Coturnix japonica: one gene and its partners. The protein of the gene in region 3 interacts with the protein of the main gene of each other region in a pairwise test. Links are inferred from orthologs where the notes say so. Each region holds a gene or a part of one and is shown on either strand. Other genes may lie near its edges.

Region 1 (3,495 bases), on a different chromosome or scaffold from region 3:
CAGAGTGATTTTCAGGAGGCTGTCACAAATACTTCAACTTGTGAATAATTTTTTTTCTCTTTTTTGTTTTATTTTCCTCCTTTCCTCCCCATCCTTCCCATTCCCCAGGGCAACAGCCATCCTGGCATACTTACCCCAGGAACTCCTAGGTACTTCATGTTATGAATATTTCCATCAAGATGATATAGGACACCTTGCAGAATGCCATAGACAAGGTATGACGATTAATACATTGGGTAAATGAATTGTAAAAAATACTTGGAATTATTACTTATTAAGAAAACTACCCAAATCTGTTCAAGCTCTTTCTTTTTTGTCTATTTCTGTAAGTGCTTTAATTGAGAATGTTGTTTGCACATACCAAGCAACACGCCTCTTAGACTGCCATGGATTTATAGTGAATAATTGAAGCTTCCACTACATGAAGGGGTAAAGCTGCAGGAATCAGACTTATCTCCATGCGTGCAGGGCAGAGTTCACTGGATAGAGTTTTCTGTCAGAAGGACTCCACTTCTGCAGTCAGTGCTGCTGTTTCCCACAGAGTTACTTGCTGTCTGTTTTCAGTTTTGCAGACAAGAGAAAAAATTACAACAAACTGCTACAAGTTTAAAATAAAAGACGGTTCTTTTATTACCTTGAGGAGTCGCTGGTTCAGTTTCATGAACCCTTGGACCAAAGAAGTAGAATACATCGTCTCAACAAATACTGTTGTTTCGTAAGTATTTTAGATGTAGCAGATGCACGGGTGGGCTAAGTGCTTTGAATTACTGGGCAGATGAGGTTTGGTTTTTCCTTTCACTGGGAAAACCAGCATGTCCATCTTTGTAAGGACTTAAGAAAGATGCATTTCTAGGCTCCTATGGGATCTTCTCCCCCCTTCCATCTTTTTTTCCCTTGGGGGTTTTGCAGAGCTGCAGTGCCTTTGCAATGGAGTAACTACTTAGTAACAGTGTTTTCTTTCTGCTGTTTAGCCTTGTCAGCCCCAATGTTGCTTTGTGTGATAGTGACTCACAAGCTACTTAAACCCTGTAGCATTCCATTTTGACACACTGCACTGACTGTTCTGCAGGGCTTTCCATCACTAACAGTAACTCTTGAAATCCACAGCACCAACGTACTTGATAGCGGAGATGCAGCCTTCCCACAACTCGCAGCTTCTCCGCATAGCATGGACAGCGTGCTTCAGGCTGGAGAAGGTAACTACTTTGCCACTAGGAAAGTAGTGGCAGTTATGCCTATGTGCACACATTTGTTGCAGTGTTGCACAGAGAGCTTGTTAGTAAAGAAAAATGTGGCTTGAGGCAAAAAAAAGGGACCACTAACGCAGCTCCTGTCCATGTTGTCTGTGCTGGCAAGTGGTTCACTCAAAGTAAAGCATAAACAAGGCTGGAGAGGAGTCTGTTCAGCTGCAGAACAAAGCAGGTGTGATGAGCTATTCTTTACCAAGTCCGGACAAGAAGCTCAGCCAGATGCTCAAAGCAGGCAGATTCTGATCACCTTCAGAATGTGGCTTGCCTAGGAGCACAGAGAGATGTCTAAGAAACACAGCACAGCTGAGTCCAAGCCAGGGCTTCCTGTATGCATGAAGGTACTGAGGAAGTGGTAGAATTTAAACAAAGCTCATCTAGTTCTGACCAGCTGTGGGATTCATACCTAAATATGAATGCTGTTTGGAAAATGAAAGTTTTACCTGACCTTAGAGCTACCTTCCTTGTTTCAGGTGGCCCAAAAAGGAGCCATCCTACCGTCCCTGGAATTCCAGGAGGAACGAGAGCTGGGGCAGGAAAAATAGGAAGGATGATTGCTGAAGAAATCATGGAAATTCACAGGTAAGAGAAAATAGCATGAAGTAAGAAAAATTAGTGTAGTTCTTCATAAATGAAATTAAAGAACTCTTTCTTCAAGCTGAATACATAAGGATGTAATTGCATTTCATGAGTAGACAGCTACAGGTTCCTATTCAGGATACCTAAGACAGTCATAGCGAAAAGTGAAAGAAAGACAGAGTTACAGCCTCCTGACTTTCTGCTCTAAGAGACCAGAAATGGTAAATCCAGCCATCTCTTCTCCATCCTGTCTGAGCTGCTATGTTCATTGGGTGTCACTATTAATTTCTATAGATTGCCCTTCATTATTTTAGTTTTGGGAGTTGTTTCCCTTCCTGTAAAACTGGTCTCATCCAACAGATGCTCAGCAGCAGTAATATTTGCCATTTTGGTCCTGTCCCTCCAGTTGTGCTTGCTCTAGGCCATACACTGCCCCTCTAAGAGAACAGATTTAGCACATAATGTAACTTTCCTGTGTATCAGGATAAGAAGGAGGGAAAAAAAAGAAAAAAGCTATCACTCAGGTTGAACCAATACTCTGAAACTTGACTTCCCTTTCAGTAGTTGCAGAACACTTAATTAGCTTCAGTAGGTGTAGAAGAATACCTTACCACCTATGTTTCATTTCAAGAGCCTGGGTTAGTTCCAGTCCTTCTTGAGCAGATGTTACTATTTGCCAAAGCTGCCTTCTGTTCAGTTTTCCCAGAGGAACTCTGCCAAGGATGAGACCTCCTTCTCCACTGCTTTTCCCTGTAACTGCCTCACCTCCATTTAGTCTCAGGGTTTGTTGATTTTGTAGTTAATACATTATTCTATAATAATAACTTTTAAAAAAATAGATATTTGATCACGTTAGGGAGAATTGAAATGAGGAAATGCTGACTCAAAGGGTATTAAGTATTATGTGTATATATAGTATTATATATATATTGTATTGTATATATTGTATATATATAAATATATTTATATATATATATATAAAATGGACTGTTCTATGTACTTAGCACACTTCTCTAGCAGTAGCCCATTTAGCAAGTCTAGATTTGTGCAATGGAGACAGCTCACACTCTTAGCTGGTAGAAGCTGAGGCACAATGTAGAAGAAAAGAGGTTACTTCAGTAAGCAGGATCATTTCCTTGCTCAGTCTCAGTGAAGGGTGCACAAATAAACAAGGGAAAGGGAATTAACATGTCAAGAAGGCAAACTTTATAGACTGGGTAAGCTGGACTACTCACAAACTTGATCTTGCTGTAAATTAGAAGTTGCTATAGGTGGTATAGGTGGTTTGAATAATACTGAAAATTGAGAAAACTGCACAAATGAAGTATGCCACCTGATACTGAGGTCAGCATCCGAGTCTCCAAGTTTCTGGTGAATTCATTCCCTATTTCTCACACAATAGGATAAGAGGATCATCACCATCCAGCTGTGGTTCAAGTCCACTGAACATTACCAGCACGCCGCCGCCTGATACCTCCTCCCCTGGAAGCAAGAAGGTAAGAACCAGCTTTACAGACAGGCTTGTAATATTAGCATCGAGCACACTGAGATGATGCTTGCAAAACATTTGTGGTGCTGAACTCTTAAACTGCTTGGCTGAAGAAGTCCAGCAGCAGCTCAAAGTATTCTGGTGTCCAAAATCCCAGTACCGTTGTCTTTAAAGTGCAGA
Region 2 (3,254 bases), about 58 Mb from region 3:
AAAAAAATCCATCTGCAGCGTGTTGACAGGTTACTGACATTATCCATAAAGGACAAGGAAAAGCACTGACAAAAAAAATTCCTATTGATACCATCTGCATCAAAGAGGAAATGTTGCACTTTAGTAATACCATTCGTAATGTCTTCCCATCAGTACTACCTCTAAAGGGAAAGAGACATTCTATTGGATTTTTTAAAGACCAAAGTAAGTTGGCAGAAGTTCTCATCTCTGATGGTAAAGCATAGAGCTTATCTTGATGCTTATTCTGGAGCTTCTAACATTGGTGTTATATTCTTGATTTAGATCCCCTGCCTTTTGCTGAACTCTGGGAGCAGTCAAAGTTAGACAAAAGAAGTTAACAGCAGCTTTTTTATTAACTAATTTTGTGACCAGAGACATATTCCAGTAGAATGGATGTAACATCCTCTCTTGTTCTTTAATGTCCATGAGACACAGATGACTTAAGAGCTGTGCATTAAGCATCACCAAGTTTAAAAGAATGTCAGAGCTGTATCTGTACCTCTACTTATGAGCATATCTGAATTGGTTTAGCATCTGAGGAATGATCACTTCAGTAACAGGGATGCTAAAAGTTACTCAATCTGATCTTCCTGTCACAGCATTTAGAAACAGCAGTGCAGCTTACCAAATTGTACACTGGATTTTGAAATGTGGGGAACTAATGGATATTTGGTTCAAGTAACTATGCTTACTTTAGATAGGCTATTTATTCACTTATTTCCTGCCTTTCCTCCCTTACCACATTTTGCATCTGAGGATGTGATGTGAACTGAAGCATTCGGAGTGCCCCACTCCAGAGAGCCTTTCCCTTTGGGAGTCAGGAAGAGCAGGTGGAGATGGGAAGAAAGATCCAAAAGGCCCTGGTACAAAATTCCCAACGTTACTTTCATATCTGGCATGTTTGATAAAGGAGGCTGATAAGATGGTTATTAGTCTTCCCACCACCACTTAGCAGAACTTGCTTTCATTGTCTCTATTTGGTATGTGTTTCAAATATACTTATTTATTCCAGTATGCATAAATGAAACCTTGTACTCTTTGGTCTGTCAGTGTTGATGAGTGAAGGAAAAAGAAAAGCATGCTCAAGTAGTTAAAAGACGGATGGACTTTATTGATCTCTTTTTCTTTTTGCACTATAAAAACTAGAGCAAGAGAATTTAGAATCTTCGGGAGAATTTAGGACAACATCTCAGTTTAACTGGCTCATACTTCATCACTGGGGAGGAGGGATCTAGCGGGTTCTGCAGCAGGCTGTTTTTCATTTCACAATCAGCATGACTTCGTAAATTGATAAATCAACTGTGCCTATAATTTTAGGTTGCATTCTTCACCACCTGGGGAATTAAGTCCATCACATCTCTTGAGAAAGTCACCGTCTCCAGCTTTAACTGTAAATTGCAGCAATGTAAGTATATCGCCATCTTTAAAAAGCTGAGAGGTTACTGTCAGATAGCTCAAAGCTCATGTTTAAGACATTTACTCAGTCTTGTGTTTTTGTGAGAGAATGTGTAAGATACTGCCAGCATCATGGCAGCTATGAAAATTTGTTTTGTAAGATGTTTGATAGCAGCAGAAAAGCCAACCTCGGTTACTAGGATATCACTTCAAGCCTCAAGTGGGCATTCTCTGAAGCCAAGACTGCAGTCACTGTTCAGTTACTGTGATCTTTACTAAAATTATATGATATGCTCAATGTGATAAATGTGACTCTTCTGAACTTTGTGTTGCCTCAAACCTTTTACTAAGTGGTCATCAGAGTGTAAAAGTGTTTCTTACCTGCTTGAGTTCAGATGGACAACCTGAGTTAAACACCAGGTCTTGCTTTTTCTCAAACATTTTTTCTCTACTTTAACCTTAGTGTTCCTGAAGACTCCTTTAAAAATATATGCTTCGTGTTCCCAGTTTTTAGTTTTGGTTTTTTTTTGTGATGCTCAGTTAACCCCTTTCCTACTTCAGGTCTGTCTTCCTGAGAGTTAGTTGACATACATACATGTACTGAACTCTTTCTGGCATACAGCATCTCATCATAAGGATAACTTACTTGTATTCATTGAAGATGTTCCTTTGTTCTGTCCTTTGGTATCCTGTTTGTTTTAAAAGGCTTTGGTAAAGCATTTCAACTTTGTTATAATTTCCTAACAGACTATACACAAGACAGGCATCCATTCTGCTAAATTGTGTACGTGTCCTACATGAAGCAAAGGGAAAGATATTTTTTTGCTGGTATATTTGTATTTTGATGACTTCCACCATCCCTATGGTAACAAGATGCAAATTAATAATAGAAAATACTCGAGTTCGTGATTCATATGGTATAATGCACATAACATATAGAAGATACGTGGGTTTTTATCTTTTAGCAAGAATGTGTCAATATTGACATAGATTGATGTCACTGGGAATTTGGAGTTTACAGTATTGGACATGGAAATTGTATGCTGGTGCATCTTGTTGTGCTGGATTTATTTACTGATTGTTCAGTTAGACACACAATAGGGCAGATGCCAAAACTGTGAAGTATTTTTGACAGATATGTTAGTATCACCTCTTATTTTAACAAAGGACGGGGCTGTGTGTACTCTAGTTAAAAAATTAAATTAAATTTAAAAAAAAATAAAAGAAAATATTTGTATATGCAATAGGTCTGCCTTGATGCCTGCCTTTTACTGACTCATTTAGTTCTTAATGCTTTGGCTGCTATTTACATTAATTTTAATAATACTATTTTAATTTTAATAATACTATTTTAATTTTAATAATACGTTACTACTGCTACAGTAATGTAGTAATTATGGTTAACTTTAGAATTTAATTCTACTACTTCTGTTTTTACAGGTGCCGAATAAAGAGTTGATTCAGTTATGTCCTTCAGAAGCAGAAGTTCTGGAGACTTCAGAACAAAACCAAGGTGCTATTCCATTTCCCAGTAACGAGCCTCTCCTCGGTAAGATTTATTTCACTTTGGCTGTAGGAGAAAATGTTTATAATAATTCTCTATTTGTTTTAGTGCACTGATATATAACCATGTACAAATTATAAAATTTCAAGGGGTTTGTCAGTATCTTTAAGATGAGGGGACTCTTAATAGAGATGCCTTGTCTTACAGCTCTCTTCCAGTTGAGCTATGATCTTCAAATAAGGATTTGAAAGAGCATTCATCCAAGATAGGCAAGGCAGCATAGTAGGAAACACCTTTCTACATCAGTGGCATGAACTTCCCTGCATGGATAACA
Region 3 (3,657 bases):
CATCACTCAGCAAGGACCAAACTATGTGCTGTTAACCCCATCTGGGCTGAAACCAGGGCATGGGGTGCAGTGCAGTGCTAGCTCAAGTAATGGCAAATAACTTTATGGATTTTGATACATTGGCTGAACACAGTCTTGTGAACAGCAAAAATATGCAGCCATGCTTTCCATTTTGATAAAGGAATCTGAGAGCAGGTTTCAAGATTGCAAAAAAAAAAGAAACAAACAAAAACAAAAGGCATCAATGTTTTGGTATATTTTCAACTCCATTTTCAATCAGCACAAATATATTACCTGAAAAATTTCAAGTGGAATGTATAGAGTTGCAATCAGATACTGAATTCAAAGATCTGATCGTGTCTCTCTACTGGACTTTCATAAGCTGCATTTTAGCAAATATATCACCACAGTGAGGTAGTGGGTGCGTGAGTGTTTCATAGCAGCTGTGGAACAGCGGGTCACCTCCTCTGGTGCAGATAATTTGGAGCGCTTCTTCATGACTGGTGAAAATGTGTAACCAGTAGTGCTGACTATGGTGAAAAATAGTGTTTTGTAGCCAAGAATCAGCTCTGTCGAACAGTGTTATTGTGCTCATTGTATGGGTTGTATTTACCATGGAAATAAATAGGAGGCATTACTTGTGGAGCATCCTAAGCATACATGGCCCAGGACAATTCCTCTTTACTCAATGCAACCCCAGCAAGTGAAAAAATCGGACACCAGTGCACCTAGGCCCTGGGGCTAATTTTAAGTCACCAGCCCTATCAAGTGCTTCACAGGAGGATACTTGGCCCTCCCAGCAGCAACGCACCTGCACGCTGGAATCCTGGACCAGGCAGAGCTGCTCCTGGATCTTCTGGAGCTCCTCCTGTTGCCAGCGGATGTTGGCCTGCAGGATCCGCGTTCGCTGCTCTAGCTGGTCCTTGATGGTCTGGAACATGCTAAACTGGGCAGAGAACTTAAAAAAAAAAGAGGAAAAATTAGGCTTTACAAAGAAAACAGGCCTTCATGCAACACTATTCTGTAAGAAGTTATTAGTTTTTTGACTGCAGAGCACAGTCAAAGGGCTAAAGTATGTGTTTGTAATATACTACCATCTAGGCAGAGATAAATCTTTTCTATTTTCAATTTTACGCCCATATATTAAATTGCTTCACTTACAGTGATCTGCTTACAACTGACCCTGTTCTGTTAAGGAATTATCGGAATGCCCATTTTTGAGAGTACGCTGCTTTAGAATATCAAGAGCATCTTAACTGGATGGCAAATGAGTGCATTTTTATCACTGGCTTGTATTTGGAGCCCTTAGCACAACATAGCTGTATTCCAAATGTGTTTTACCAATACTTTCGTTTTTCCATGCAGAAACAGCTGCATTGCAATGGTTTATTCTGCTGTTTACTTACTATAAGATCATGCCACAGCTCGCCACAGCAAACGTTTTCTAGATTTCTGCCACTGTGCAGTGGCCAAGCTGCAAGAAATACTCATTAAGCTATTTTTACACGAGGTAGAACAAATAGCTCGGCTCAGTGGGAGAAAGGCTATCCTAAACAATAATGTAGAATGGAGATCACTAATGAGGGTCAAGAAGAAAGTGCAGCCTCCATAGCAGCAATGCTTTGCACCAAATGGAATGGCTCCATAAACAAAGAGGGGACAACATGGCCGTAAATACTCCGTTTTCTTTGGTGTCTACATGTATAACTCAATGTCCACCAAAACTCATTATAACTTTAATTGGCTTCGGAACTGTTGCATTGCACAACTTCATATTCCAAAAGTAAAAAACACACTTTGAGACAAACCCACAGTGTTACGGCTTCAAAAAAAAATCAGTGTGCTTTTCTGTTATCAGGGCATCCAAGAATCCAAATTGTCTTTGAAAAGACGCAGTGCTGGAAGCATCCAGGAGAAAAGAAAGGAGAAAAGGAAAGAAAGAAGGCATTTTGCTATGACTTGTTGAACTCGAAGATGGCGCATTGTTCCAGTGGCTGTTTTTTGTAGCTCTATGCTGATGGGTGAAGCACACAAAAATGTATTGCTGTTGATTTTAAGTCATTACTCCATTGTTTTACTCAGCATCTTTTATATGTAAGATATTTGGTTTCTCATTTCCCACTTAACAGCAACAGTAGTTAGCTGGTCTACCAGATGAGAGCTGCTAAGGAAAAGGGTGAGAAACTCCTTCCTTGCTTTTTCCTACCCAAAGTTTACTGATAATTTTTGCATTGATCCCTGTGACTACAAAGCTTCTATTGTTTTTGTGCGGTGAGAAATAGCAATTGACCTGTACCCCAAAGTATTTATCTCAAGATCGTCGACTGCTCTACTAATTAAAGGAGAAATCTGTAATTATATAATACATTAAAAGAGCTTAACGCAAAATGTTCCACAACAAAGCACTGCACTGCTTTAACTTTGCCATTAGCATCAGATAAAGTTGATATTCATCTCACTTAGGTAATAGCAAACTTCTTGGGATCCTCAGAAAAGTGCATGGTACAGGTGACTGTACCAGCTTCCCAAGAACAGTCAAACACGACAGACTTAACCTGTGAGATATCTATTATTGCAGAGGATCACAGTTTAATCAAGGGAGAAAAAGATCCGTAAAGAACCACGCAAGCTGAGGTGTTCCCTCACTTGCAGGGTGCTGAGCAGAAGAACAGATGCCTCGAAGACATTCTGTTCCTGCAAGTTTCATTAAAACGGTAGCTGGGTAAAGGCAAGACACTCTATTTTTTGCTTGGTTTCCTAATGAAATGAACCTTTCAGTTCCTTCTGCCTTCCTACTTTAAGCCCAATGCTGGAGACGTGCAGCAGAGTTGTGAGAGCCTCAACAGCACCGTGCTGCCGTGATGCCATGTGAGCTCTGGCCAGGCAATAGGAAGGAGGACCCCCTACTGCACAGCCCTGCAGGGCACAGTCCCTGCAAACCAGGTTTCATTGGCTTTGAGGTTCACAGAACAACTCGTTCATTCTCGCTGTTACCAAACAACACCTGTGTAATCCCAAACGGAGTTATTAGTGCTGATTATTATTCAGTCATCAGCATCCGCTGTGTTGTAGGGGATTTAATTTATTACAATGAGGGAGACAAACAAACAAATATTCTAATAGGGAGCACTTTGTTTAAGGCAAACCACTGACATTCAGGCGGCACCTAGTGCTGTGCTTTAAGGTTTGTTCAGTAGGCAAGGTTTGCTTCCCCCAGTTCAGAAATTGCCAAGGGACTGAGCCTGTAGCCATGCAACAGAATGGCACCAGGGTCTGGTGGCAAAGATGGAGCTGCAGCACCAAAAAGTGTTGTGATGGGACAGGGAGGCAGCAGGGCCTTTGGTTAACAACCAGAAAGCATCCCTCCAGCAAGGGCTGCGGGATGGGAGAATGGAAAGCAGAAAAAAGTCATGCAGAACATGCACTGGGTTACAATAAATAAACTAATTGATGTTTGAAAGTGCATTAATGAATAAAGGAGAGGGATATCTGTAAAAGAAAATGAATGCTCAGAGCAGATAATTGATATGCTGTTTCTTCACCGCATGCTGGTGTGGAATCGTGAAAAGAATATTAAATACAAAAGATAAATGAGAATTTGTTATTTTAGAGCAGGGATCCTTTTTATGTTTTATATGCTACTGGAAGAAGCACTGA

What was found.
Region 1: the proteins of NPAS2 (region 3) and ARNTL interact in binary tests that used the Homo sapiens proteins (3 or more experiments, as listed by UniProt). The link is inferred for Coturnix japonica from reciprocal best matches to the Homo sapiens genes NPAS2 and BMAL1.
Region 2: the proteins of NPAS2 (region 3) and ARNTL2 interact in binary tests that used the Homo sapiens proteins (3 or more experiments, as listed by UniProt). The link is inferred for Coturnix japonica from reciprocal best matches to the Homo sapiens genes NPAS2 and BMAL2.

Annotation. Positions count from the first base shown.
Region 1 is NC_029520.1:11,881,467-11,884,961, reverse strand, and holds part of ARNTL (aryl hydrocarbon receptor nuclear translocator-like protein 1), read left to right. Parts: intron 1-108; coding exon 109-215; intron 216-564; coding exon 565-715; intron 716-1,107; coding exon 1,108-1,196; intron 1,197-1,720; coding exon 1,721-1,829; intron 1,830-3,228; coding exon 3,229-3,322; intron 3,323-3,495. UniProt on the Homo sapiens protein: Transcriptional activator which forms a core component of the circadian clock.
Region 2 is NC_029516.1:62,652,928-62,656,181, forward strand, and holds part of ARNTL2 (aryl hydrocarbon receptor nuclear translocator-like protein 2), read left to right. Parts: intron 1-1,338; coding exon 1,339-1,426; intron 1,427-2,856; coding exon 2,857-2,965; intron 2,966-3,254. UniProt on the Homo sapiens protein: Transcriptional activator which forms a core component of the circadian clock.
Region 3 is NC_029516.1:120,177,562-120,181,218, reverse strand, and holds part of NPAS2 (neuronal PAS domain-containing protein 2), read right to left. Parts: intron 959-3,657; coding exon 812-958; intron 1-811. UniProt on the Homo sapiens protein: Transcriptional activator which forms a core component of the circadian clock.